2 linked regions of the Diceros bicornis minor genome follow. The protein of the gene in region 1 binds, or shares a complex with, the protein of each later gene. Links are inferred from orthologs where the notes say so. Each region holds a gene or a part of one and is shown on either strand. Other genes may lie near its edges.

The links.
Region 2: the proteins of LPL (region 1) and GPIHBP1 are in contact, whole or in part, in a crystal structure (PDB 6OAU), measured with the Homo sapiens proteins. The link is inferred for Diceros bicornis minor from reciprocal best matches to the Homo sapiens genes LPL and GPIHBP1. Residues at the interface, in NP_000228.1 of Homo sapiens: Tyr367, Gly368, Thr369, Ala371, Glu372, Glu374, Leu403, Met404, Lys406, Lys430, Lys440, Ile443, Cys445, Ser446, Arg447, Glu448, Val463, Lys464, Cys465, His466, Asp467, Ser469; in NP_835466.2 of Homo sapiens: Cys68, Lys69, Ser70, Leu92, Ala94, His95, Gly96, Asn97, Thr98, Glu99, Ser100, Leu103, Thr104, Thr105, Ser107, Trp109, Cys110, Thr111, Asp112, Ile117, Lys119, Val121, Glu122, Thr124, Val126, Met128.

The regions. Positions count from the first base shown.
Region 1 is NC_080750.1:73,708,280-73,722,808, reverse strand, and holds the start of LPL (lipoprotein lipase), read left to right. Parts: upstream 1-8,482; 5' UTR 8,483-8,646; coding exon 8,647-8,734; intron 8,735-14,529. UniProt on the Homo sapiens protein: Key enzyme in triglyceride metabolism.
Region 2 is NC_080760.1:55,938,539-55,953,413, reverse strand, and holds GPIHBP1 (glycosylphosphatidylinositol-anchored high density lipoprotein-binding protein 1), read right to left. Parts: upstream 5,783-14,875; coding exon 5,731-5,782; intron 5,135-5,730; coding exon 5,015-5,134; intron 4,406-5,014; coding exon 4,289-4,405; intron 4,151-4,288; coding exon 3,891-4,150; downstream 1-3,890.

The sequences.
Region 1 (14,529 bases):
TCAATTCATTTACATTTAGAGAGATTATTGGTATACGAGGGCTTAATACTGCCATTTTATCTTTTGTTTTCCAATTGTTCTATATTTCCATTGTTCTATATTTCTTTTTCCTTGTGTTTTTGTCTACCATTTCAGTTTGGTGGTTTTCTGTGATGCTTTTCTCAATTTTCTCTTTGTTTATGCTTTGTGACTCTGCTCTGATTTTTTGTTTTGTGGTTACCATGAGGTTCATATAAGAGATCCCATAGATGAAATAGTCTCTTTTCTGATAACCTCTTATCTCCACTAGCCTATGCAGGCTCTGTCCCTTTCCCCTTCCCATTCTATGTTTTTGTTTTCACATATTCTTCCTTTTTTTGTGTTGTGAGTTTGTGAGCTAATTGTATTAGCTATAGTTATTTTTGATGCTTTATTTCCCTTTATATTTTATGTTATAATTAAGTGTTTACTCACCTATTCTGATACAGAGCAGTAATTTTCTGATTCTGTTTATCTATTTATCTCATTCTTAAGGTTTTGCAAAATTTTGCTTTTTGGTTTCAGATAGGAAGGCTCCTTTCAACATTTTTTTGTAAAGCAGGTCTAGTGGCAATGAACTCCCTTAGCTTTTGTCTGTCTGGGAAAGCTTTTATTTCTCCATCATTTCTGAAGGATAACTTCATTGGATAGAGTATTTTTGGTTGATAGTTTGTAACTTTCAGGGTTTTGAATATATCATTCCATCTCTCCTAGCCTGCAGGGTTTCTGCTGGGAAACCTGCTGAAAGACTGATGGAGGTTTCTTTGTAAGTTATTTTTGTCTCTCTTGCTGCCCTTAATATTTTTTCTTTATCATTGACTTTTGACAGTTTTACTATTATCTGCCTTGGAGAAGGTCTTTTTGCATTGAGGTAATTAGGAGTTCTATTATTTTCATGTACTTGCATGTCCATTCCTTGTCCAGGTTTGGGAAGTTCTCAACTATTACTTCTTTGAATAAGCTCTCTACTTCGTTCTCTCTCTTCTCCTTCTGGAATACCTACAATGCTTATGTTACTTTTCCTAAGTGAGTTGGATATTTCTCAAAGAATTTCCTCATTTTTCTTAAATCTTACTTCCCTCTCCTCCTCCCCCTGACTCATTTAGGTTTCTATCCTTGAGCTCACTAATTCTCTCTTCCACATGGTATGGTCTATTTTTAATGCTTTCTACATTATTTTTCATCTCACTTATTGTGTTCTTCATCTCCAGAATTTCTGGGTTTTTTTTTTTTTTTTTTTTTTTTTTTTTTTTTTAGAGTTTCAATCTCCTTGGTGAAGTTCTCCTTCTGTTCACTTCATTCCTGAGCTCATTGAACTGTCTTTCTGAGTATTCTTGTAGCTCACTGAGTTTCTTTATGACAGCTATTGTGAAGTCTTTGTCAGATTGTAATCTTCTGTGACTTCAAATTCGGTTTTGAGAGAGCTGTCCTTCTCCTTCTGTTTTGCAATGTTATTGTAGTTCCTCTTGGTGTTTAGTGAATTGATCTTCTGCTGGCACATTTGTGGTAGTAACCAACTTTCTTATTTGGGTATGGCTTTTGTTACTTTGGTTCTGTGCTGCTTCTGGTTGTATTTGAGAGCCTACACTTTCTTGTCTCCATTGCCTCTGCCATGGTGTGTCAGTGCCTCCTTGTGCTGCTTGTGCCTCTGGGGCTGCTGGTGCCTTTGCTTTAACCTCAAGTGTCACCACTGCAGTTGCCAGGCTGTGAGCACTTCTACTGCTTCCAGGGTCTCCTTGGTCCTGTGTTCCTCCACTGACTCTCCATGGGCTGGGATTCTGCTGCACCTTGCACCACCTGTGCCATTGTTCCTGGGTGTCTGGGAGTGCTGGCTGTACTGCAGCCAGGGGTGTTGGGTTCATGGGTGTCACTGTCACTACCAGGGGCCAAGGTATTTGGGAAACTGTGCTCAGCCCCTGCTGTTGGTGGAGCTGGTGTTAGGGATGCTGCCACTGGGGGCTGGGTCACCAGTTCTGCTGTGGTTCCTGAAGCCTCTGGTCACAGGTTCCACCTGCCACCACCAGGGGGGAGCAGGGGCTAAGCAGGTCAAGGTTTTTGTTGTTGCTTGCTGTGCAGCCTCTGGTCTTTAGTGCTAGCTGGTGTGTTTTTAAAACTCAGGTCAGAGTGCCCCATCCCAGCTGAGGAAATCTGAGTTTTATATACTATCTCCACTGCTGGAAGGACCTGGCCACTGCTGCAGCAGGGGGAGGGGGCATGCATGTTGGATCTACTGGTAGATGGGTAGGGATCAAACCTGCCCTCTCTGTGCCTCTGCCAGGACTGCTCACCAGTGCACAGTCTAATTCCTCAGGGAGAAGAGCAGGGAGTACTCTGATCTTTTTTCTTACAGGCATGCAGACTAGTGTGGGGATCCATGCCCTGGATTGCTGCTGCCAGGGGAGGGGGAGGGGGTTGCTCCCCTAGATCCACTACCTCCTGGCGGTCCAGTCCACCCACCTTCAGTTGTATAGAAGCCTGGATCTCTTATGTGTCCTGTTGTGCTGTATAGAGAATCCTCTGTAGGTCAATGGATGTCCAACTAGTTGTAACTTAGAGGGGAGAGACAAAGGGAAAAACTCCACCGTGATGCTGACATCTATTACTATTTAAAATGAAAATTAAAACAAAAGACCATTTTCATCTTCCAGGATGGTAGAGATTAACTAGTTCAGTAATACACAATAACGGCCACAATGTCCACAATCACTCTACTCCCCTACATTATAGACAAGAATATAAATTTGACACTTTCATTAGAGGATGACTTTACTTACTAAAATGATAAATATTCATACATTTTGATTCAATAATCTCAAAGAATCTGTGTTTGTTCATTATAGCATGGTTTATATTACCAAAAGACCTAAGTAACTATTAGTAGATGTCTAGTTTAGTAAATGATCGTACCACCACATAAGAGAAACTTACATGGCCATAAAAAGAAAGAAAAAAAGGGGCATCTCTGCATAAGCTCATCTCTAAGTCACATTACTAGAGGAAAAAATAATTGCAGAACAGTGTCTATGGTATGCTGAGATTACTGTAAAAACTAAGCTGTGAATATGAGGATGAATATACACACACATATGCACATATTTACAAACACATATATGCTTGTAAATGCATAGACTTTTCCGGAAAAATACACGAGAAAGGGAACTAGATGCTTCTGGAGAAAGATTAGAGGATTGGAAACTGAAGTCAGAGAAAGACTTTTTTTTGCTTGCATACACTATGTACTGCTTGAAATTTTGTATTTTGTGGTTTTATTTTGGTCAAGATTACATCACTTTTTTGTTGTTGTTGTTGTTGAGGAAGATTCACCCTGGTGAATCTGTGCCAACTTCTAACATCTGTGCCAATCTTCCTCTATTTTGTATGTAGGTCACCGCCACAGCATGGTCACTGAAGAGTGATGTATGTCCGCACCAGGGAACCCAACGCAGGCCGCCAAAGCAGAGCATGCCGAATTTAACCACTAGGCCACGGTCCTGCCCCAAGAGTATATTACTTTTTTATAAAGAGTTAATTGAAAGGAAGAAGAGAAATAATAAGAGACCAGCAAAAAGCCCCAGCCAAATGAAGCTGTCCTTCATTTCCCTATCCCAGATAGATTTGGCCTGACTAGACTAGATTATGGCAAGGAGGATGTATGTGTGTGTGCACATGCACATGTGTATTTGTTTGTGGTCTGTGTTCAAGTTTCATGATTACTAAATCTAGTGAAAATTTAAAATTAAAATAATCTTGCTTTCTCACCCATTTAGCATTGGATCATCTTTTACTTGAAATTATTAATTGACCCAACAGCTATCAACTAAGTGCCTCCTCACTTCCCAGCACAGTTTGATGCTGTGGGAAGTACCACAGAGGAGAGAAGAGTAATACCTTCCTTCACATTACATATAACAACAAAAGAAACAAGAAAAACTCAAATACAAGAGCTTAGTGATTACCTGAGTCAATTCTGTTTCAAGCCTCTTAAAATGGCTTTTTTGAGATGTTACAGTATCACCAGGAAGTCAGCAGGGGGCACTTCAGACACATCCGTGCTGAGTCCAGCTCAGCTCATTTTTAGCCTAGGGCTTTGATGTTTTGTCTGAAGTTATCTCAAAACGTGAAGCCCTCAGGGAAAAACATTTGCAGTCTTGCATATTTAAGTAATTAACTAGGTCTCATAGAAAGTCTCCTTTGATTTCCTTCATGGACTTAAGTTTTTAAGTTTTGGGGGGTCTTTTGGTTTTATTTTAGAAACGGAAAGAAAGCCTACCTATAAATGAACATAGATTATAAATCCAGTGTGTTATTTGTGGGATATTGTTTTTAGGTTTTGTGAGCTGTCCTCTATGAAAGGCCTACATCCTTCTCCCCTTCAGCCTGTTGCAGTTTGTCTGTGACAGCATGTGTCTCTCTGGTGTGTTCTGACATGTCTCCCTCACCACAAACCCTTGTTCGAGGACATGGCATTGTAATTCATTGGGGTTTTTTTATTATTATTATTATTATTCTCTTTTTTAAAATTAGCTTTTATTTCTCTTCTTAATTTTATTTAGACAATCGTGTTTTTTTTGTTTTTTGTTTTTTTTTGTGAGGAATATCAGCCCTGAGCTAACATCCTATGCCAGTCCTCCTCTTTTTGCTGAGGAAGACTGCCCCTGAGTTAACATCCATGCCCATCTTCCTCTACTTTATATGGGACGCCACCACAGCATGGCTTGACAAGCGGTGCATCTGGGATCTGAACCTGCGAACCCCGGGCCACCAAAGTGGATTGAGTGCACGTAACCGCTGTGTCACCAGGCCAGGTCCTATTTAGACAATCTTTTAATGCAGATATTAAAATATGATTTCTTTATTTCTCTTTGTTTTTTGTTTTGTTTTTGGGAGAGGGGAGGGAATGAATATCCCCAACTAAAGGAAATTAAAATCCTTAAAATGTATCTGGATTATTTAATACCACACTTTTACCATCTGAAGCAATTCTTTCCACACCCCACATTTCCTTCACCCTCAAAGCAAAGAAAGTCAGCCTGATCCCTGTATTCATACCTGGTGGAGGAAGGCAATAGTAGCAAATTGGCTAAATATAATATTTATTTGTACTTCAACTTTATAGAACACAACACTCAACTTTACCAATGGAGAGCTATATTCTGTCTAAATTTAATCTGCCCTTGAATTGCTACTTGGAACTTCTTGAGCATAGCATTGGTAGGTAATGAATAAAATACCAGCATCTCCACTTGTCAGCTGCTGGGTAGGAGAGCTCCAGCATCAGGCACCAGATCCCAGACCTTTAACTTCAACCTCATTGTCACCCTCACTGTCACTCACCGTCTCTGTTCAGAGGCAGCTTGTGCTCCTCCCTGCCTACAATTTACTGCTGGGATATGGGTGGATAGCGGCAAAAAAGTCTTTTATGGCAATTTTTAGTATACACCTTTGTTTTGTTTTTTTCTTATCAAAAGTCAATAGATTTTTAAATACTTTTTATATTTATGATTTCGTATTTGTAAATTTTATTTGTATTAGCCATGCTTTCTTTTCTGCATTAAATATAATTTTTGTGATGGAGACCAGATCCACTTCAGTACTGATGCTCTTCTAGAGCCCACTTAGACATTTCATCATATTTTAATTTAGCAAAAAAGCCACAAAATAAAATGTGCATTAAACTACACATCTACAAAAACATCTGTTTCCCAGTCTTTTCTGGTTTGAAATTACAGTACCATTAAAATATAACATATCAAATACATTTTCCTTCTTTCTTGGGATCGCCAAAGGAAAAAATGCTTTATGATATGTGGTTACTGTTATTTAGTTTTCCTTGAGTTTCATCTTCCCTCATCTGTACAAAAGGAATATTATTAAGTTTGGGGTGTTTTTGTAATGATTAAATGCAGAAAGGGTTGAAAAATGTCCAGTGTGTGCAAATAGCAGGCCCTCATTCAAAATGATAGATAGATGATTGATAGATAGATAGGTAGGTAGGTAGATCGATCGATCGATCGATCGATCGAACTTCCCTACATGTGGAGTTTTGGAGTTTCTGGTCATCTCTTCAGGTATGCCCATTTAACTTTTTACTTACATCATACTAAATTTATACCAGGAGCAAGTGTCCTGCCAAAAGAGCGCTGGGTTGTTAAATATTTATAAAAGGCTTAGCTTCTTTTAATGTGAAGCTTCTTAGGACTGTTGCAAAGGGAAGGTCAATTATGGAAAAAGTCATTCCTCAAGCTATCAGTGATCAAACAGCGTTGCTGAAGTTTGGACCAGGCACTTTGCGAACGCACACGCAGTCAGGACTTGGAGATCCTGTGAGTCTCTGCAGGAGAGCACAGGCAGCTGATCACTCTGAGAGCAGCCAATCAGGAGAGCGCACTGCCATCACACCCACTTGCCACTTGTCTCTGGGATTGGAGGCAACTTGTCTGCTTTTCTATCAGGCTAAGCTGCTACGAGTTAATTCTTCCTGGAAATCTCTGCAACTCTAATGACATGCAGTGTAACAGGACAAGCCACTACAAAACGGGTTTCAAATGAAAAAAAAAAAGAATTACCCTAACTTTTGATTGCTTTGGTTTTGTTATGTGTTAACCTGAGGAATCATTTTAAACATACATTATGCACATCAAACACCCTTTGAGCAATCACGTAAAATCTTCTTGCAGTTCTCTGGGAGGCACAGAAGTGCAAGTTTGTTTGGTTGTCTTAGTAAATGATATTTATGTGTAAAACTAGGCTGCATAAGTATTCTATACAAGATAGTAGGTACTTTTGTTTATCATCTATGTTTTGAGCACATGCAATGCAATTGTATTCATCTTGTGTCATTTTTTAAAATTAGAATTTACTATATAATTTTTGGGAGACTGCCACGTTGTAGTTACTCATCCCCTGCATGGTCTGCTCTACCACTTCTAAAGTTTTTCTGAGGGGGTTAATTCTTGGCAAGTTTTAAAATTCCTCTACATGCTATGTAAGATACAATGAATGTGCACAATGTATTTAATAATTGCAATACAAGACTGTATATTGTGTTGTGGCATTTAATGCACCAACTTTAAGACAGAATTCTATTCTACAGAATAACAGACTGAATTATTTGGGTATTAACAGGTGTATTTCATTTTTGAGAAAAACTTAAAATGTGAGCCTAGTTTAAATTGTATGGCCTTTCAATCTCCTAACATACAAATGTAGATTGTGTGTGTGAGAGATAGAGAAAGAGAGAGGGAAGGATGAGTAGAAGGAAGCATTAAAGATATTCAGCGAAATAATCCAATAAATCAAAAGATTTATGAGTCTGTTCTCAGATGTAAATTGGAGAGTATAGAGTTAATTGTCCTCCTTGGCTAATGTAAATCTTTTATGTTTAAAAAGATAATTTGAAAGCATTCTGAGGATTTGGGAAAAAAAATACAATATCCAATGTGATTTCATTATTCTTATTATTATTCTACTTGCATACCTCAATACATGTTTTTAATACTTTATTAAGATATAACTTACACACCATAAAGTTAACCATTTAAAGTGTATTTTAGTATATTTATCCAGTTGTACAACCATCACCATAACCTAATTTTAGAACATTTTCATCACCATCCCCCCATAACTTCTCCATTCTCCTCCTTCTCTATTCTCTAGCTCCAGGCAACCACTAATCTACTTTCTGTCTCTGAGATTTGCCAATTTGTGGATATTTTATATAAATGGAATCATAAAATATGTCTTTTGTGACTGGCTTCTTTCACTTACCATAACAATATAGTTTTAGATTATTTGACCTCAATATTCTGCCTCTGAGGATAAAATGCTATCCCTACATTCCTTGATGTGTTTTAGGATTGGGTATAATTTGCACCAGGCAAAAATTAGGAATTAGAGCAAGAAGGCTTTTCTCCACCGAATACGCTAATCCATGGTCCAGTGTTAAATACCAGATTGTGCAAGCACAAGCTGAACAACAGTGTCTGCCTGTGGTCCTTAAAGTGACATTGTCTAGGAGAATTTGGGGGAAAAATAACACTGCAAGTTACAAACAGGATCTATCACATAGGAATGGGTTTAAGTATTGACCAAATGTAGTTTAACAGCTTAACTTGCCCTCCTCAGAAAACTGGTGATTGCAGAGTATTTAACAGAAATCCATATAAACCTGTGTTTGGTGCTTGTACAGGGGGATTCAGAGAGCCAGACCCCTTAAGAAAAGCAAATAGTAAGTTCACAGAGAAAGCAAATTTTCCCTTGTGCCCTTTCCCCCTCTTCTCTCTGGCAGGATTAATCGGAATTACAGTTTGCTCAAATATTTGGAAGTGAATTTACGGCCCTCCCCTCAACTTATGATTTTATAGCCAATAGGTGATGAGGTTTATTTGCATATTTCCAGTCACATAAGCAGCTGTGCTGTGGAAACAGTGTCAGACTCAATTCCTCCTCCTCCTCCTCTGAGGAAACCTGCCACTTCTAGCAGCTCTGCCCTCCGCTCTGAAGAGCGACTTGCCCCACGCCGGAGCGCGGCTCCAGCCCGCTCCTGCCTCGGGCTCAGCCGGTTCATCAGTCAGTCTGTCCACGCTCCCGACGGTGTTGTGTAGCTCCTACAGAAGGACGTGCCCCGAGATGGAGAGCAAAGCACTGATCCTGGTGGCTCTGGGCGTGTGGCTCCAGAGTCTGATCGCCTCCCGCGGAAGGGTGGCCGCCGCCGACAGTAAGTTTTGCGCGCAGACTCCTCTCCATCTGCAGACTCTGCTCAGTGGCAACCTCCACAGGTTGTGAGGATGGGAAGGACGACGTCGGTAGGGGTTGCGGATGCTCATCGAAGAGTCTCTTAGCCCGAGCGCCGGCCCCGAGAAAGGTCACTGGGGTGGGTTTCCGGAGCGGCAGGGAGAGAATTCTCCCTCCGATCTCTCTGGGGCGGTTCCCAGTTCCCGCTTTTTCTCTCCCCCGGTTCCCACGCTCTGCCCTCCACTCTAGCTGAGGCCGAGTTCCCGGGCGCCGGGGCTCAGCTGGGAAGGGCGGGACGAGGGAGGAGAGAGGGAGGGCTCAGTTGGCGGTGACCCGCAGTAACCTCCCCACTCGGAGAAGGCAGGGGGGAAAGGCTGGAATGAAAGGCACGCGGGCCAAGGTGACCCTGACTTGGCCGCGGCTCAGCCTCCGCCTGTGGGAACTCTGGCAGAGAGAGCTCCTTCTCCTGGAGAAGCCGGCCCGGGGCGGGGGGAAGGCATCATCCGCGTCTTAGAAGCACAGGACGCACTCGCTCTCCGCGTCGAAGTCGGGGTGGGGAACGAGGGACGCGTGGCGCAGAGTCCTGGGGACGCAGGATCCTGCACTCGCTCGGGCGCCGAGGAAGCTCTCCAAGCTTCCACTCTTGCACGCTCGGCTTTTCTTCGCGCCCAGAAAACCTAGCGAAGGGTTGACCCTTCTGAAAACATGGCGCAGCGACCAGCAGTCTTCTGTCGCTGACTTGAGGACTGCCAGGTTTGCACTTGGCCGCCCTCACTGCCCTCTGAGCTGAACCGCGCCTTCCGGCCGCCCAGCCCCACGTGCGGTCGCGAACACATGGGCCTTGTGGGCGCCGTGGGGAGGCCGCGGACTGAACCCCAGTGACTGCCGGGCCCCACCGGCTCGCCAGGGTTCAGACCTTCGAGGCCAGAGTGAATTTCTTTATTGCAAGGAAGACGAGCGTCCAGGCTCAGACCTGTCCACAATAGAGGCATCCTGCGTAACGTGAACCTTCGCTCAGCTAACACACAACAGCAACTAAAAAGGCAACTGAAGCAAGTCATAAGGTGGAATTGCACTTAGGGCGCAGTTGCTTGGATGTGCTTTCAGGGGCCAAGTCCTCAGTGATTCTAGTTATGGTTGAGTTTGCCCAAGACGTTGCAGCTGAGAGTTTCTTTTATTTCAGTACTGACTTGTGAAAGAACAGTTTTGTTAGGTTAAAAAAAATATTGATTCCATCAAAGCTGAACTGGGTAAAAAGACAAATATCTTTTCTCTTAGTTCAGTTTGAGAATACTGGAGGTTCAATTAGAGAGTCTGAAACGTCTTTCGTAGTGGCATGGTCCCCTCAATAGTGTGTAACACTGTCCAAGAAGAGGGTAGAAACAGGCTACGAATTCTTATTTCAGAAAGTACACCACAGGACAATGTTACCTTTACCATAAAACACACACAAATATGTGTCATCCACGGTTTAAGTTTTTGCTAGGCTCTCTTAGAGAGTCACGACCTTCAATGCCTGGGCTCATCAGTGTCACCTTTCTGGTTTAGCTGCCTCAAATCTAAATGAGGAGTTTGGACCAAACTGAAAGTTCTCTTAGGCCCCTCCAATTCTTACTCTTTGATTTAAATGGACCCTTAAGTGATTAACGAATTAAATTGGATTAATTAATGAATTAAATTGGATTTTAAGCTTTTCCTTGTTGTAAATGTATTCAAGGAGGAAACATTTTTAAGTAGACTTGAAATTAATCCCTCTCATCTTTTCCCTCCCACTCTCACTTCACCCCTACTCCCCCCTTATAGCATGCCTCTCTCATCACTGCGACTTTCTGCCCCTTTTCTCCTCCAAATGCATTCATCTAGGAATGTAAGAATTTCAGAGCAGAAAGGCACAAGTGTGAGGGAATGGTAAGCAGCTCCTCCTCTGGGCTCTGACTTATTCATTCTCGATTTCTTTCTAAGAAGAACATAAGGATATAAGGCACTGCCCTCAGGCTCTTTGTTCTTGGAGCCACCACAGTCTCTGCATGGCCTCATTAGGAAACTTGAAGAGCTAGGAGAGGAGCATGAGCCAGTGCCCAGTAGCTGCAGTTCCATTTGACTGGCCGCAGTGAATTTCCAGGCTAACATCTGAGTTATAATATAATGAGTGATGACAGCAAAATAGCAGATACCATTTGTGAATGGAGCAGAGCTCAGCAAGAGAATGATTGATTAATAGCTGTATTGAAAGGTGGGAGTCAAGCACTGGGGAACAGTTACAATGGAAAATTGTCACTTTCTTTCAGGCAGTGTATTTTTAGCTCAGCCCTCCTTTTTCGCTTTATTCTGGGAGGAGAAATTGGGCTATATAGTGTCGGGGAAGACAGAGAATCCCCCTCAACCCTTTCCCTTAAGGTTCTTATGGCTGGCCAGATAATTAAAAGACAGGTTAGCAGGAGAAAATAATACCAAGTTTAATAATGTGGATACATGGGAGAAACCAGGGAAACTGAGTTTCTCAACAAAATGGCAGAGATTCTCATGTTAAATATTATCTTCAGCTAAAGACAAAGGAGGATGTTGGGGGAGGTAATGGTTTGGAATTTCAGAGGGGAAGAAGACAATTTACATGGAGAGGGAAACGTAAATGTTCGTCAGACAGTTCTTTATAGGGCCACCTGTAGAGAATGTGTCCGAGAGACAGAAATCACAGTAATCAAGAGTATGTAGATTTAAGTCCTCCCCTTCCGTACTGATAACAGTTTCTACAGATAAGGCCATCTCCCCCTCTTCCCAGTACACAGAGGGAGATACCTTTACAAATGTAAGTATTTGGTAAACAGAACTTTGAAAAGAATGGGCTTAGCGAGGACCCTGCCAGTCTGTCCATACCCAGAGTTAAATTCCTTTAGGTAGTTAGTGGGGGAGGTCTAATGTCCATCAGAGAAAATAGTCAAGGTAAAGAGACATATTTCAGGGTGGCCAATTTTTGATCTCCCACAATAGTATACTGCCTCTATGTTTAGAAACATTTTTTTCTATAAAAATGAAACTGTTAGGTAAGTCAAGAGCATTGTCTAAATTGAAATATGTGAAAGGACCAATCAATTCAGTCATATAGCAAAATATTCAACTTGTTTTTTGTCATTCTGCAAAAGCTGCCTGAGCCAATAACTATGGTCATCAGTCTCAGAGAGGAGATAAATTACTGATGAAGTCTCTTAGGAGTGTGTTTGTGTGTGTGTGAGAGAGAGAGGGAAATAGAGGAAGCGAGAGAGAAAGAGAGGGACGGAGGGAAGGAGAGAGGAAGGAAGTAGAAACTTCAAAGAGAATTGCATTATAATTGAGCTTTTGTACCTCATGTCTTCATATAAATGTTAATCTTATTCATCTGATGACTGTGAACTGCCTTTAGAGTATATTTCCTGGGATGCTCAATGCTTCTCCTTTTCTAGCTACAATTATGTACTCTCCATAAATTTACTTTTAAAGTGCTTTGATTTCTCAGGCTAATTTCATCTCTGTGAGTTATTACTCACATTAAGATAAGTTCCTTGTCTTTCTTCACACACTTAGATTTTTAGCTATTTATTTAGGAATAAAGATTACATAATCGAGAAATCCATTAACGTGTAACTTGCCTGGTGCCCCAAAATCTTGTCTTAGTGTTTAATAAGGATATGTCCAATGGGGCCAGGTTGGCGTGGTGGTTCTTGATAAGCCAAATTCAAGGTAAAAATCCTTTAGAAGGAATACATCTTAGGCACTTTTTTTTTCATTATTATAAGGTGGCTTTAATTTCTAAGGGCAGTGGGTAAAAGATCCATATCCCCTTAAAAGGGTAAGTGCAGAGTCACTAACAATGGAGTCAAATGAGTTCATCCTCAAGCCAGGAGCAATCTCAGTGTATACTGGGACACACAAACTTACTGACTGACCCACAGTCAGGTCCATCTATCTCCCCGTCTCTACATGGCTAAGTCACTCGTGTGAGGGCTGATAGAGGTTCGGGAAGCACATTCATCTTTAGGATGCTGAGACATCCTTGAGGGGTTGCAAACACCAGAAGTGTGAAAATTCCCATCAGAACACCAAAGAGAAGGAAAGACTATGCACCAATAACATGTATGATTTCAGATATAGAACTGACATAGAATTGAAAACATCATAGCATATAGAGTGGTACTGTTATCCTGTCAAAGGCTTCATTATGCTTTCTGTAACTTAAAATGAAAAATAATTTTCTTTAGGGGCCGGCCCGGTGGCGCAAGCGGTTAAGTGCGCGCGCTCCGCTGCGGCGGCCCGGGGTTCGCTGGTTCGGATCCCGGGCGCGCACCGACGCACTGCTTGGTAAGCCATGCTGTGGCGGCGTCCCATATAAAGTGGAGGAAGATGGGCACCCATGTTAGCCCAGGGCCGTCTTCCTCAGCAAAAAGGAGGAGGATTGGCGGATGTTAGCTCAGGGCTGATCTCCTCACAAAAAAAAAAAAATAAAATAAAAATAAAAAAGAAAAAAAAAAAAATAATAATTTTCTTTAAAAATGAAATAAAAGTCTCCAAATACAAATTTGCTTGAGAATGTGTGAATTTCCTGTTATTTTTTCTTTACAAGCCATGTACCCAACAGAAAATGTTGGTTGTGGGGAATTGGAGCTCTCAATGAGCTATACAGATAATCTGATACAGGATCTATGGATTGAATAAACTTTGCGTGTGTGTGTAAATATACAAACCAGTCTTAATAATTTCAAAGAATATTCTTAGTCATTTCAAAGCCATCAGCAACGCCAGGGCCACAGTGTTGCATAATTCTAGGGAAAAATAGACTAAAAGTGAATGGCATCCTTTGGAGTTGTGCAAGGCAATAGTCTTAAATACCGATTTGGCAGATAGGTAGTAGGCAAGATCTGTGTGCCAGGCTGTTCAGATTATTTCTGCTTTAAAAAGATTGCTAATTGAACGTGTTAAAATAAGATTGTTAGAGAGGAGGCATGAGTTCTTTGATGTGGAGAGACATGAGAGAGGGTGAAACTAATTTAGTTTTAAATTTTCTAAAGCACTTTCTAATAATAACAGAACTTCTTGGGCATTGAAAGCAGAATCAGATTAAAAATCTACAGTATTTTTTTCTACTATCAGATAAATAATAAGGCCACCAGAGTACTTTCTGCTTACGAAAGAAAAGGAAGCCCTACATCTTCAAATAAGATGAGAGGCAGAACAGTATTCTTGATGGACAAATAGATTTCAAGTGCAATTTTACTTTATGGAAATGAAAAAAACTTTAAATATCAGTAGTTAACCATAGTGTCTTATTTGGATAAATTATCTTAGAATGTTTAAGTGCTGGAGATTTGTGTGTGTGATCAACTTGTTGCGTATAATGAATCACTTAACAAGTAACCACAATACTGTTTAAGGAATTTTGGAAAATAATTAAAAAGAAAATTGTTGGTCAGTTCTCAGATAATTATATAAGCCTTGTTCTCCTGTACTTTCACAGTACTGTATCATTCTTATTTTTATTTTTGGCCTGACTTTTGCAATGTTATTTGAAATTACATATTTTCAACTTTTGAGTTGTGAAAAGAGAGTAAGAAATTACTCTCTTTAATTATTTTAGATTAAGAAATTAGAAGTATTTTTAAGCAACCTCAGTCATTTCTCTTCTGAAAGTTTTAAATAGTGAAATCTAAAATCTATAAGTTATTACCTTTCTAAGGGGAATAGATAGATTTTTTGGATTTTTTTACTTGACAAGAAATTAAATAATTTCCCCTAATATAACTTCCCTTT
Region 2 (14,875 bases), on another chromosome or scaffold:
AGAGCCAGCCTCCCGTCCAGTTACAATCTGAGGGGCTTTCTGTCCCCTGCAGCTGAATGCACTGCCGACTGAGCGGGGCTGTAGACTGAGTGGGCAGAGGTCTCTCCTTGGGTGGACACAGAGCTTTGTCTCCGAGGCCCTTGCTGGAGCCCGGACACCGGGAGGGGAGAGGGGACAGGGGAGGGCGCCCATGTGAGAGACTCGGGGAGTTCAGGCACCGGCAGGACGATGCCAGCAGGTGTTTTGCTTCTTCTCCTTCATCTAGCTTCTTAGCTGCAACAGAGAGATGGGTGCCAGTGGATGTCAGGGCCTTCCAGGTGGGGGCGGATTCTAGTGCTCCTCGAAGGTGGAAGCTTTGGAGAAGCCAGGTTTGAGGAGGGGCTTCTGAGCCCCCTAGCCTAATGCAGGAATAAGAAAGCCTGAGGTCCTGTGAGGTCTGAGGGGACGCGTGGCTGCATGGTCCAGCACTTTGCTCAAGGGAGCTGGCTGGACACCCTCTGGGAGGCGGGGAGGGAGGGAGCGAGCTTGGCCAGGGTGCCACGTGGCTTGCACGCATTTCAGAGCCTTCTAGGGAGGAGATGACGAGGAACAGAGATAGGGATGGGGGGCTACTGATCTGCCCCTCCAGGGTTGTACACAGGCGTCACATTACACCCAGTGTGTTTAGAGACAACCAGCTTGCATATGCCAGGGTGGAGCCCCATTCCCCAGATGCCTGTTTCCAAGGGACCCCCTCAGAGGGTGAGCCCTGGGGTGACCTTTGCAGCCCAGTCCCTAAGGGGGAGAAGAGATGATGCACTTGTGGCTTCTGGCTCCCTCACCGTCTCTCCTGCACCCCCTTGATCTGCCTGCACCCAGGTCTCCTGCCCCTGCTGTCCTGGGGCCCTGCATCCTCACTTGTATCTTTTGTCTCTTTTGTCGGGGCCGTTTGATCCCCACATGTCTCCTCGCCGTGTTCTCAGCTGGTCAGAGCTCAAGGGAGGGAGGCATGGTTAGAATTTGTCCCGTGAGTTGGAGTTAGGCACCACGTCTGGCTCTGCGACAGCCAGTGGCTGACCATCACAGCCTCCAAAAGGAACATAGCTCTGCCGGCACCTTCCTTTTAGACTTCTTACTTCCAGAACTGTAACATAATACCTTTGTGTCGTTTTAAGCCAGTAAGTTTGTGGTCATTTGTTACCGCAGCCATGGGAAACAGATGAGGTGACCCAGATGGACGTGCTCCCTGGCCGGCCTCCTGGGTGGCTGCAGAGGTGCTGCCTGGGCTGGATGAGGAGCGGCCCTGCTGGGCTGCCTCCCGATGCTTCCAGCAGCTCCTTCTTGGGACCGGTGTTGGGCTCTGTGATAATGCCCTGGCTGTGACTGACCCCTGGCACCTCAGACTGGACTCGGCCTGGGTATCCAGTTGGGCTTTGGCCACCATCCATTCCCTCCCAACCTCTGGCTCAGGCCTCCTGGCGCTGCTGCCCACCTGGCTTGTGGCCCCAGGGCTGGGTCCTGTACCTGCCACCACCCAGCTTCGTGACCTTGAGCCAGAGGCTCGAGTCTGGGCCACAGTGTCTCCTCGGTCAGGTGGGACCCTGGGTGCCAGGACAGTGAGCTTGCTGGGGTGCCTGGGAGGGGGCGGTGTTTTGGGATGGGGTGCCCAGCGGATGGGCTTCTCTGCCCCACATCAGGTCCTCCCCCTCATCAAAGCGCAACGTGCCTCCTCCTGTGCCCTCAGGCGGGGATGGGGGGGTGGTTAGAGTCCCAGTGAGGAGTCAGGGCTGTGCTTTCTGCTTCCCCAGGGGTGGGAGTGGGGGCCCAGCTGCTGGCAGGGCCCCGGGACCCCAGAGAAGAGGCTGTCGCCACAGCAGGGGCCCCAGGCCAGGGCAGGCCCCGCAGCCGGTGGCTTCACACTGAGCCTGCAGCCCAGCTGCCACCCGGTGCTGAGGGCCTTGAAAGAGTGTGTGTGTGTGTGTGGGGGGGGGGGGGGTGGCCTTGAAGGGCTTGAGGACAGGGGTCCAAGGAAGAATTCTGTGGATGCAGGTGATGGTACCCAATGTTTCTAAGGCGGGCGGGTGTGGCTAACGAGGTTTCTTTTGATGGTAAGGCACTCAGGTGGGGGTTTTCCATCCTTACGCGCGTGCGTACACACACACACACACCACACACACACACACACGGCACACAGGAGCTGGGGCCACTAGGGCCATGTTGATAGCAGTAGTTCACGTCGCTGGGCCCTTGCTCTCCACCAGGCATGGGCTGTGAAGTTCTCACTGCAGCCCTCAGGTAAGGCCCTTCTGCTCAGCCAATGGGGAATACCGCTGTGGGGAGGGGCTCACTGGGTCCTGGAGGAGGGTGTGGCCTAACATTTGATCCCAGGCAGCGTGACCCCCAGCTCTGCTCTTATCTGCTGTGCTGCAGTAGGGCTGTCTGTGTCTGTGAGTGTGTGCACGAGTGGGAGTACTGTGAGTGTGTGCATGTGCACGAGTGCGTGTGTGAGTGTGTGAAAATGCAAGTGACAGAGAGACCCAGGATAACTAGCTTCAACATGGCAGAAGTTTATTTCCTTCCCGGGTAAAGGAGTCCTGAGGTAGGCAGTGCAGGGCTGGTGTCATGGCTCCTGGTCATCAGCCGTCCAGGCCCCTTTCTCCATGCTGCCCTGCCATTCTCAGTGCGCAGCCTCATGGTGCAAGGTAGCTGCTGAGCTCCAGCTATCATTCCAGCCAGCCAAGGCGGGGCCTGCCCTGGCCTGGGGCCCCTGCTGTGGCGACAGCCTCTTCTCTGGGGTCCTGGGGCCCTGCCAGCAGCTGGGCCCCCCTCTCACCCCTGGGGAAGCAGAAAGCGCAGGAAAGGGAAGAAGAAAGACATGCCACCTCCACCTAAGGGATTTGCGTGCCCACTCCCAGCTAGGCCTCGAGGTTTCCATTAATAAGGAAAGGGGAGACTGGAGAGTGGGAGGCTACTCTGCCTGCGGGGGACACTTGACAGGCAGGAGAAGGCTCTGGGCCTCCCAACCCAGGGGATGTCAAGCTGGTGGGGCTCTAGGGGTCCTCTAAGCCTTGTTCTACTCTGATGGGGAAACTGAGGCCCAGGCCTTCTCCCTCCCATCCCAGGGCTCTATCTTCCCACCAGTCAAGAAGGCCAAGTGCCCAGCAGCCAATGGCACCAGCCCAGCCAGAGCAGACACTGGGGATCCTGCAGGTTCTTCTATGCAGTCCCTTCCCACTACCCCCCTCCTCTTCTCCTCAGGAACTCACAGGTCCATTCTGCCTCTCCCTGCACCCCCCAGACCCCCCTACTCCACGCCCACCAGGCTGAGCAGCTGGCTGGAAAGTCCTGTCTCAGCCTACCTTTCTGCCTCCCTCTCTTCTCTCCTTCTCTCCCAGCTGCCCTTCATTAACTAACGCCCCCACCCCTGCGGCCCCCCAGGGGCTTCCTCCATGGGCGGGAAGCCTCCCTCCCACAGTGGCCCCCCCACATGGGCTGGGAGGCAGATGTGCGCATCCTGGGAAAGGGCAAAGCTTGACCCAGGTGACAGCCGTGTGGATGGAGGTGATGCATTGGCGCGAAGCTGAGGAGAGAAGGGTGCGGGCTCCCCTGGCATACGATGAGACTTTTCTGGGGCTGCATGGACCCACCTGTGAGTGGCTGAGGCCTGGACCAGAGGCCCTCCTGCTGGCCATCTCACCCTGCAGGGCAGGGGGAAGAGGAGCCAAGAATGCTAGATGGGGAAATGCAGATGGGGCTGGGAGGAGCCAGTGCAGGCCCAATCATTAAAGACACTCCATGTTTATTCTCCAAAGATGGTGTTGGGGGTTTCAGGAGGGGAAGGCACTGGCCAGAGTGCTGACCAGCCAGGGTATAAGCTGGGCTGGGGACCCCACACCTGAATGGGGTCCCATTCAGGACCCCATTGCCTGAGGGCCGGCAAGGAGGCTGAGCAGGAGGGCAGTGGCCACAGCTGTGGGGCTACCCGGGGGGCCCCCTGCCCCACCACCCTGGGGGCTGCCTGCCCCCTTGTCCAGTGGGTCCTGCCAGGGTGGGACGTTGCACAGGGTGGACTGGCAGCAGGTCATAGTCATCAGGGTCTCCTCCACTGTCCTGTTGGTGGGTTGACACGTGTCGGCACACCACGCCGAGTAGGTGGTCAGGGGACCCAACTCTGGGGACGGGGAGTGGTGGAGAAAGGGTGCGTCTCACAGACGGCAGGGCAGGGACAGGCCCCTCACAGGGGTGTGTGCCTGTCCTGGCCCCGGGCATGGGTGATGGCCCTCGCAGCTGCCCCAGGGCGCCCGCTCACCGGTGCTCCCGTGGTAGATGAGGGTCTTGCAGAAGGTCTGGCTGAGGACGCAGCTCTGTGTCTGGTTGCAGAGCTCCTCGCTGTGCAGGGACTGGCAGGAGTAGCAGCGCAGCAGCCCTGGAGGCACGGCGGTGGGCTCAGGCCCGGCCACAGGCCAGAGCGCCTCCCCCTCCACCACGGAGCGGCCTCCAGCCTGTGCTGGTGTGGGCCTCTTCCCCTCCAAGTCTCCCGCAGTTCCTGTCCACCTCTCCCTTCTCAGCTGATCCCCCACAAAGCCTGCCCTGCTGGAGCCTCCCTGCGGCCTCCTCCTCAGGACTGGCCAGCCCACCTTCCCCTCCCTGCCCCAGACTGCTCATGTCACTCTGAACTGAGATTACCACCTAGGCCTTTGCATTCCTTCGCTGGTCTCTCCACCCTGGGGCTCTGCTGCACCCCTCTCTGCTTAGTGAACTCCTATTCAACCTCTCCACCCTGGCACCCTTGCCCCTTCCAGGAGTGGCTCCTTCTGTAGGCTCCCTGCTCTGGATGGCAGTGGAGGGTCCTGGTCAGAGTGAGAGGTGAGGGGTGTGCTGAGTGTCAGGGTTCCTCCTCATCCCCTCCCCTGCCCTGCTGAGAGGCAGGCTCACAGGCGAGGCCTCTGCCTGTCGGTTCCCCATCACACCAGCACCACACAGGGTGTTGAAAAGAGGGACGGGTGCCCGCTGTCTGGGGCCAGACGGAGGGTACCTCTGCCCCTGCTCTCTGCAGTCATGCTGGCCTCTTCATCCTCCTCGTCCTCGTCGTCCTCGTAGCCCTCCGGGCCAAAGTCCGAGTCTTCATCCTCCTCGTCCTGCGCCCGCCCTCTCCCTGGCCGTGCAGGAACGCCTGTAAACCTCCGCTACCCGGGTACAGAGGACACACGCTCGGGGCCCCGTGCGCGCCCCCAGCCCCTCGCTTTGTCCTCTCCCCACCCCTCCGTCCTCTTCCTCCCCACTCTGTCCTCCCGCCGCCTCCCAAGCTGGTGAGGTCCCTGTCTGGCCCTGGCCCTGCTCACTCACCCGGGCGCAGCCTAGCATTGTCCTTACCAACAACACCAGCGGCTGTGGACGGCCCTTTACAGCAGCTGCACCCCCCCCCGCCCCCCCGCCGCCCAGTAAACCTTCAGGATGGCCTGCCCATTTTACAGCAGAGGAAATTGAGGCTGGGAGAGGAGGGGGAATCTCAAAGCCCGCATTTCAAAGATGCCGAGCAGGGAGCCTGGCTGTCGGGGGGCTGCAGAGGTTTGGGGGTCTGTGGGAGCCCAGGACAACCCCCTCCACCTGCCTCTGGCCTTGGACGCCAGCCTCACCCACTCCTTTTCCCCCAAGCTGTGTCTTGCCCCCAGGCTGGGGGTCCCTGGGGGTCCCCACGGGCCTAGACTATGCTGTCCCCTTCACTGCAGGGTCTCCCTTAGCCCTTAGTACCTGGCTGCCGGCACAACAGCAGGGCAAACAGGACAGCCGTGAGCGCCTTCATCCTGCTGGGGCCGCCGGGGCTGCCCGCTCGGGTCCTTGCTTGGCTCTGGGTCTGTGGGAAGTGGGACAAGATGCATTGCCCGGGGCTTCCTTGAGGCCCTGGCCCCCCCAGCTCCAGCCTCAAACAATGGGTCTCACACTGGTCCCCGCGCCAGGCACCAGGCCAGGGATGGCCACTTCCCTCCCTGACTTCAGGGGCCCCAGAGGGAGGGGAAGTCATTGTGGTCGGCCTTGGGGCATCCTGTCCACCTGTGCCGCCCGCCCCCTCCGCCCCCGGCCTGGCTCGCCGGCCTTGGTGCCTCAGCCCCGTGGTGCGGGCTGGTGGGCCTCGCCCTGGGCCGGGGCTGTGCCTGACAGCCCCCTGTCCCACGTCTGGACCCTGTGGGACCCAGGCCCAGGCCGCACAGCCGCAGGAGCTTGGCGTCGCAGGCCCTCCAGCTGCAGGCCGCCCACCGGGCACCTTCAACCCTGTGTCAGCTTCACCCGTAGTCCAGGGCTTCTTAAGAGTATTTTAAATAAAAGCCCAATAAACATCCTCCCCCGACTCCTCCCCTCTCCCCCAGCAGCGCACTGGTTCCCTGGCTGCCTGGCTGCCCTCGCTCCCACCTCAGGCCTTTGTCCTCGCTGTTTCCTCCCCCTGGAATGCTGTGCCTGCCGATGTCCATGCTGCCTGTCCCCTCACCTGCTCAGATGTCACCTCCTCAGAGAGGCCTCCCTGCCGTCACTCATCTCATGGCCTGTCTTTCCCTCGTGTTTGCTCCCTGACCAGGGGGCACCCCTGCCCTGGGGAACGCTCTCTGTGCCAGGCTGTCCAGGGCTGGTGGGAGCTGGGAGCAGCCAGCAGCTGGCCTCCCTCACCCGCCCGCCCACCCTCTGCCTGTGGCTCCTGTGTGAGAGGCCTGGGCTGCTCAGGCCAGCTTGGCAGCCTCCTGGCTGTGTCCCTGGGTGCACCCCTTCCTCTTCTGAGGGCCATAGACTGTGGAAATGGGGATGCTGGAAGCCCTGTCCCCCACTCCGGCAGCCAAAGTCACTTTCCAGCTGGAGTCTCATCCAGTCCGGAGTCCGGGCCCTAGACCTGCCCTCTTCACTCCTCAGACTGTGTCCACGGCAGCCCCCAGTCAACCCAGCTTCCTCCTACAGGCCTTTCCATCTGGGGTCACAGGAGCTGCTCCCAGGAAGGGCCCCACAGGGTTCCCAGAACTGGTAGGGAGCAGGGGTCTCCACCTGCCGCCTGCCCCTCCCCAAGCCCAGCTCCTCCTCGGCCCAGGTGCCAGCTGCCCAGCCCAGGCCAGAGCTTGTTGTCAGAATCACCTAGGGATATTAATAGCCCGGTTTAGTTCACTAATTAAAATTCAGTGTAATTGATACCAGCCCTCAACAACTCTGGGAGGTGGGGTGTTTCCATCACTGCTGTACTGACCACCACTGCCCCCTCCCCCCACCACACCCCAGGCTGCACGCTCACCACCCCGCTCTGCGACCTCGCCACCCCCCCTTCCACAGCCTTGTCACGCCCCCTCCATGGGCTCACTGCCCTGCTCCTGCGGCCTCACCATTCCCTTCCACTGCCTGCAGGCACTGCTCCCTCTTCCCCAGGAAAGGAGCTGGGGTCTGGTCCAACCCATGCAGACGCAGCCACATGGCTAGGCCAAAGTTGGTGGTCGCAGGTGTGATTGAGGCCCGGTGAGGCTGGGGAGCTTGGCCTCCCGCCCCGACACCTTGACAACAGATACCTGGTCTCACCGCGGCCCCCAGCCCTCAGGTTGAGGGGGTTGTGTATGCCCACCCCTCTCCCCACCCAGGCCTCTTCAGACGTTCTGGTCCAAAAACATGCCTGCTGGTGGCACCTCTCTGACCCCAGGCTTCCAGAACAAGGGCATGCCCTGCAGACCCCCCAGGTCGGGGCGTGGCTCCCTCAGAGCCCCCAGGGCCAGGGCTGAGGTCTGGTGGCCCGTGGGTGGCACAGGCCCACTTTAGAGCCTGCGTCCTGAACAGCCTCTGCCCTGGGCTCGGCGCACTCCTGGGCCAGGGCTGTCTCCCTCAGCCATGCCCACACGCAGAGATGCCCTTCTAGGGCAGCCCGGGGGCCCCAGCTCCCTGCCCGCCTACCCCTGCGCAGCGTGGGCCTGGCCTTGCCTGCTCTGTCGCGCTCGGCCAGGCTGGCTCCTGTGGGTGGCCCGGTGGACCCTGCTGGGTTGGCTCCCCTCCCCCAGGCCTGGCCTCCCTCCGCCGAGTGAGTGGTGTGGGTCACCTTGCTCTTCCTGGCAGCAGCCGTGGGCTCAGACCTCGGTGTCAGTCGTGGACAGGGCACGCCGGCCATCCACACTCCCTCCCGCCCTGGCAGGGGGCAGAAGGTGGGGGTGGGGGACCACAGGCCCTGTTCTCCTTGGGAAGCTGTGTGGCCCTGTCCTGGGCTCTGAGCCCCTACTCTGTCCCCCTCCCCACCCTGTGTTGGCCTCTGGGGTCACCAGGTGAATTAGACCCAGAACAGGGGAAGAGAGGACAATGTTTCTGACCAACAGGCAAAGGTCTGGTGTCTGTGGGGTCAGGAAAGGCATTCGCCCTGCCTGGTAGTACACAGGCATGGGGGCAGATGTGGGCTGCAGAGGTGCTGGCCCTCACGCCCATCTCCCCTGCTCAGGGCTCCTTCCCACCCTCTCTGCCTCTGGGAACAGAGGGAGGGCCTTCCTCCTTAGAGCAGAGTCCAGACCCTCCTTCCAGTGTGGGCAGGGTGCCATGAGGGCTCTTTCTTGGGGTCTCTGCTTCTGATGGCCCCAGAGTGACCAGCCAGGCAGGTCACTCCCGGGGTTTGTAATGAGGATGAGGCCCCTTTCTTCCCTGGAATCCAGCACCGAGGAACAGTCATGGTGGGGGGCGGGGCAGCCAGAGGGAACAGGGTCCCAGTCGTCTTGGAGGGCCCAGTGCCCTGCACTCCAGTCACGCCCAGGACCTGTGAGGAAACACCTCAGGGTCTCAGAAGCTCAATTCCTTCAGGCATGCAGGCCCACATTATTCATCTGTCCAGCCTGCCCTCCCACTCTGGCCTCCCCACTCCCTTCCACATGTCCACACCCCAGGAATACTCAGGGTTCATTTTCTCTAGTCCTCGCACACCCTCGGCCCCATCCACACCAACCCTGGGGAGTCTCACCTTCCCTTGCCCCACCAAGCCCCACTGGCGGAGGGTGATTGAAGATCCCTGGTGTCCAGCACCAGCCCAGCAGTGCTGCCCCTGCTCCTGCATTCTCAGCAGACTACCTTGCCCCTACTCCTCTGCGAAGCTCCCAGCCTTCCACCTCTAGACTGGCACCCTGCCCACCCTGTGCCCGGTATCACCCCCCCACCCTTGTCCCGATGCCCCCTCTTCTCCTGCGGCCCCCTTGGAAGTGCGGGCCCTGGCCCCGGCATCTTTCTCCTCTCCTGGGCTTGCAGCTCCCCTCTCTTCTTTCTACTAGTTCCTCTTCTTTTTTTTTTTTCAACTTTTTTATTGTGATAAAATACACATAATATGAATTTGCCATCTTAACCATTTTTAAGCGTACAGTTCAGTGACATTAATTACATTCACATTGTTGTGTGACTGCCACCGCCACCCATCTCCAGAACTCTTTCATCTTCCCAAACTGAAACCCTATCCCCATCAAACACTAACTCCTCCTCCCCCCAGCCCCTGGCACCCACCATTCTACTTTCTGTCTCTGAATTTGACTGCTCTGGGTCCCTCATATAAGTGGACTCATACAGTATTTGTCCTTTTGCGACTGGCTTATCTCACTCAGCATAATGTGTTCAAGGTTCATCCAGGTTGTATCATGTGACAGGATTTCCTTCCTTTTTAAGGCTGAAGAATATTCTATTGTGTGAATGGACCACATTCTGTTTATCTGTCCATCCCTTGGTGGGCACTTGGCTTGCTTCCGCCTTTTGGCCGTTGTGAACACTGGTGCTGTGAACATGGTGTACAGAGATCTCTGCAAAACCCTGCCCTCACTTCCTTTGGGTCTACACCCAGAAGCAGCTTTGCTGGATCATATGGTGATTCTCTGATTAATTTTTGGACTGGTTCCTCTCCTTCTGCATGTAAACACACCCAAGTGTCTCTCATTAAAACAATTATTAGAAACAAACCCCTGAAAAGCCCTCTCTTTCCTTAATTTTCTACCCAACCTCCCTCCTCACTCCTTCCTTATACAGCTCTTGATGGCACCGCTGGTGACATCTCCACGTGCCAGGAGCTGAACTCTCATCAGTCACCCATCTGACACTGCCACTCACCCCAGGCTTTCTACATGGAACACAGCCCAGAGCATCCCAGAGGCTGTCCTCCCCACCCCTGACCCCGCCCACTCCCTGATCCCACCCACTCAGGCTGTCCTCCCCACTCCTGACCCCGCCCACTCCCTGATCCCACCCACTCAGGCTGTCCTCCCCACTCCTGACCACGCCCACTCCCTGATCCCACCCACTCAGGCTGTCCTCCCCACTCCTGACCACGCCCACTCCCTGGCCCCCCCAGGCTGTCCTCCCCACCCCTGACCCCGCCCACCCCCTGCCCCCCCCCGCTGTCCTCCCCCCCTGACCCCGCCCACTCCCTGCCCCCCCCCCCCCCCCCCCCGGCTGTCCTCCCCGCCCCTGACCTCGAACACCCAGGTGCCCCTCCTTTCGCCTGGAGCACTGAAGGGACACGAGACGGCACCACCCTCTCCAGAGACCTTCCGCAGGCCCCGCCACCGTGGCCATCCTCCTGCTGAGGGGTTCCAGGCTTGGCCTCTCAGCTTCTGGGGCCCCAGTCTTTCGTATTGCCACTCCCCTTCGGAAAGTGCACGGGCGAGGGGCATTGTGCATGTCCTTTATTTTATCGCATTAGAAATCGATCTCCCTCACACTGACCTGTTAAAAAAACTCTGAAAATAATTATGCGGGATTCTCTGCGGCCGTATAACAGAATGGAGATGCTTTTTGTGTCTGAATCAGAAGAATATCACACGGATAAAGCAGGGGCTGGAGAGAGTGCACACGCGCTGCTCTTTGTACGAAAAGGGAGGAAACGGAGTCTGTGTTCAGCAGACTTTGCGCTCTGCACGGTCTCAGCTCTACAGGGTGCCGCCTTCCGCCCAAGCCGCCCCCCACCCCCCCAAAGAGGCCCTGCAAGGAAAGATGCTGATGGCGAGCTGAGCGCGGGCTTGGGCTCTGCACGTGGTGGTGCGGGGTCACTTAGGTCAAATATGGCGCCTGGGGCAGCACAGGATTTCCCCTCCCTGGGCGATGGGCTGGGCCCTGGTTGTTGCTCAGGCCCTCCTGGCAGCAGCGCGTCTGCGGGCCCATGTGGAGCAGGCGACCCGCGTCCTGGGGACGTCCCACTTGGACTCCTGGCAAGTGTGGTGGCAGAACTTCAGGTGCAGGGTCTTCGCCCAGCAGTCCCGCTGGAGGGGGGCAGGGTAGGGGGTGAGGTTAGATCCCTGGGGGGAGTGGGGAGGAGGCGATGGAGAAGCCAGGGGGAGTGCTAGAGTGTGGTGGGTGGTCTGGGCGGGGTCCCAGCTCTGCTACCTCTTTAAGTTTCCCCAGAGTCGATGTGACTGTGATCATCCTCTGGGGGTGTGAGGGGTGCAGCCACCTTGGATGGCTTCTCCCCGTCGCTCCTGTGGGACCTGGGGTCTAGGATGAGAGGGGGCCAGGAGCCGGCTCTCTCACTCCTCTGGGGAGGTGTGTGCATCTCCCCATGTGTGGATGAGGAATGGTAAATAAATGACAAGCAATAGGATGTATTGGAGGATATGAGGAAGCCATGTGGTTTAAAACTAATTCGGCCTGACCTTGTTTTTCCAAAAGGGCCTGACATGGCATGTTGAGCACGCACTGTACATCTGCTCTAAATATCTACTATGTCCCAGAGACAAGGATGATGCTCCTAAAGATAGGGATGTAGCTTCCTCCCATATGGGCATTTCTTTGAGGATAAACATTTCTTCCTGGAAACTAAGGATTAATTACCGACCTGCTGTGCTCACCTTGTGACCACTGACCTGCTGACCACCGACCTGCTGTGCCCGCTGAGCATCTCGTGACAACTGTAAAAGAGACATTCCTGTCATATGTGATGTATGCTCTTTGTTCCAAGACGGAACATAACCAGTCTATACACCCTACTTCTTTGGTGCCCTTCCTTCCTTTGGGAAGGAAGGCCCCAGGCTGCACCTCAGATCTGGCTCATAATAAACTTACCGCAATTTTGATTTATAGATTGACTATGGATTATTTGCATCGACAGGAATCTGTGACTCAAGGATGATGGGAATCGCCCAGGTCCTGAGCTCAGGAATGGGATGTGACTAGGGGCACAACTCGAAATACAGGGCCCTGTCCACTGCCCAAGGAGCTCGCTGAGTGGGGGCCTGTGGTTCCCAGATCCCGTGGGGTTGGGGATGGGGCAGGGGACTCTCTGGGTGTTGGGAGGAAGGACACAGAGAGCCCTGGGGGGAAGTGGCACTCACCCAGGGAGCTGCTCCTCCAGAGAGATGCCGTGGGTCTTGTGGCACAGGGCTCTCTCATGCAGTCACTCAGGAGGCAGGGACAGGAGAGGACACAGGCCAGTCCCTCTGACCTCCCAGCCCAGGCGAGATCCCACCTCTGTGCTCTTGCCACGTGGTGCCTCCCTCTGGACTGCCCCCAACCCCATCTGGTGCCTGTTCTCATTCTGAGCTCTTAGGACCCTGGAGAGAAATGGAGGTCTGGGATTCAAACCCAGGTTTGCCTGACTCAAGACTCAGAAGCTCGTGTTAGAATGGGCCCTGGGAGGGTGAGATGAGGAGCCACAGGTGAGGCCAGCAGGCCTGGCAGGGTCCCCACAGGATCTTGTCTGGGTGGGCTTGGGAGAGGGGTGGTAAGAGGCCCAGACCCCCACCCCTACCCCATCTCTCCAGGGGTGGCCTCCTGACCTTCCCAGCCCCTGCTCCACCTCAGCCTCCCTGGGCCTGACTCACCAAGCTCCACACCCCGCAGGGCAGGCAGCACAGCCCTCAGGAGCACGGTCTTCACGTCTCAGCCCCAGCTCGAGGCTCTGGACTCTCGGCTCTAGAGGTAGGTCTGGGGTCTCCAGAGGGTGGAGTTCCAGAAAGCTGAGGCTGAGACCCATGGTGAGGGCTGGCGCTGGGCTTTTGCCAGACCACACAGGCTTCTGCTTTTTGTAGTAGCAGCAGCGCCGGGCTGTCAGCTGCACCTCAGCCCTGCAGGTCTATGTGGCTCTGCTCCCTGCTCTGTCCCGGTGCACAGAGTGCAGGAGTTGTGAGTGAATTGTTTTCTTGGAGTGTTGACGCTCTAAATCAGGCTTTACCTACAGAGGAGGACATGGGCTGAGAGGGGTGTGGCCTGCCTGGCTGAGGCGGCAAGGGCTTGATCTGCTCGCCGCAAGGCAAAAGCCAATCAGTCAAGAGGCGGGGGTGGTAGAGAAGGAACTTCATTAAGCCATGAGCTAGCTGATCAGAAGATGGCGCATATCGTGCTAAAAATGCCATCTTAAAGGGGAACTGCTTTGGAAACGACTTATACAAGGCCAGTGGGGTTTGGGAGGGGGCTCAGGAACATCAGGTGATGGATGCCTACAGACTGTCGGGCACCTCTCTGTTGACAAAAGTTTCAGATCTGCTGAATGTGACATATCCTGTGGAATCTAAGAAAACGAGTTATTTCCTCATCTGAGACAGAAGGAACAGTTCTGGGCAGGCATCATACATTTTCTTGCTAACAAGTTATTCTTTCTACCGGTTACTGATTAGGTTGCCTGGGTGCAGTTCTAAGCGTTTCTAAAAGTATCCTGTGAGGGTGAGATGGAGGTCAGGGAAAGTTCAAAACATGGAGTCCTGCATGTCAGTATGGGGACTCAGTCTCATCAGGACCAGGGAGCCCTGGGCTGGGAGGGTGCCTCCATCTCCAACTGCCAGCGAGCGTCCGTGGCAAGGGCTGCCCCTCCCTGCCCCCATTTCTGGTTACCTAGAGGACAAGGTTGACAATATTTTCCTTGTAGGATTTGAGGGCATTTCAGATGGAGTTATGGCGTGAAAAGGGTCAGCCCGTGGCAAGGAGAGGCTCAGAGAAATGAGAAGGGAGGTTCGGGGAGGTTCCCAGTGCGATCTGCCTCCGTCTTCACACTGGGAGACGGGATGACCACAGCCTCCCACAGTGGATGGCTGTGTGGGTCAGATTAATACGCAAAGCAGTTGGCATGGGGCCTGGTGTGTCACCCCCAGGTGACAGGTCTGGGTGCAGGAATGGCTGTCCTGTTACTGAACTGGAAGTGGATTTGCTCACCCATCAGGCAGCAAGTCAAGCTCTGATGCCGAGTGTAGTGGAAGAAAGTAGGAATTTTATCGCAAAGTGCAGAGCAAGGAGAATGGGCAGCTAACGCTGTAATCCCGAACTCCCTGAAAAGCTCCAAGCAAGGGTTTTTATTTGGGGTTTTAGGTAGGGGAGGGGTAGCATGTGGCCTTGGGGGCTGAAGTTTTAAGAGTCCTCTGCGTAGGCACGACTGTTTTTCATATTTCTTCGTACGTCACATCTGCAGATTCGGGGGTTTCTATGTGTTGCCTGCGGTGGATTTTTAGCCTGTGACGCCTGAAATTTACAGTGGGTCATTTTAGATTCTCAGAGCTCCTGCCAGATGCTCAGTCAGGTGGGGGGCTGTCAGCAAGCTGCTGTCTTATCAGCAGTCCTCCCTTGTTCTGCAAGGCAAGCTTAGAAACCGTGGTTACTTTGTTTCTCATGTTACCCTTGTGGGTGCAGGCAGGGCGTCCCCCTAATCTAGGGAAATTTTAACTCCATTCTCGGTTTCACTCCCCTGGAGCAGGCCTAGCTTGGGCTCTGGCGTAGGTAAGCACACTAGTCGCACTCTGGTCAGGAGCAGCCTCCCACCTGCAGTGTCCCTCGTTCTCCCTCCCTCAGAGCAGGGCCCCTGCTGGAATCTGGGCCCTGGGGGGGACTCACTGGTGGGAGCAGGTAGCCTGGGCAGCAGGGTTTTGACAGCTCCCACCAACCTCCTTATAAGGCAGGAGTGGGCGGGCCTGTTCCCAGAACCTGTGCCCCTGATCTCCCTGTGTCTAGA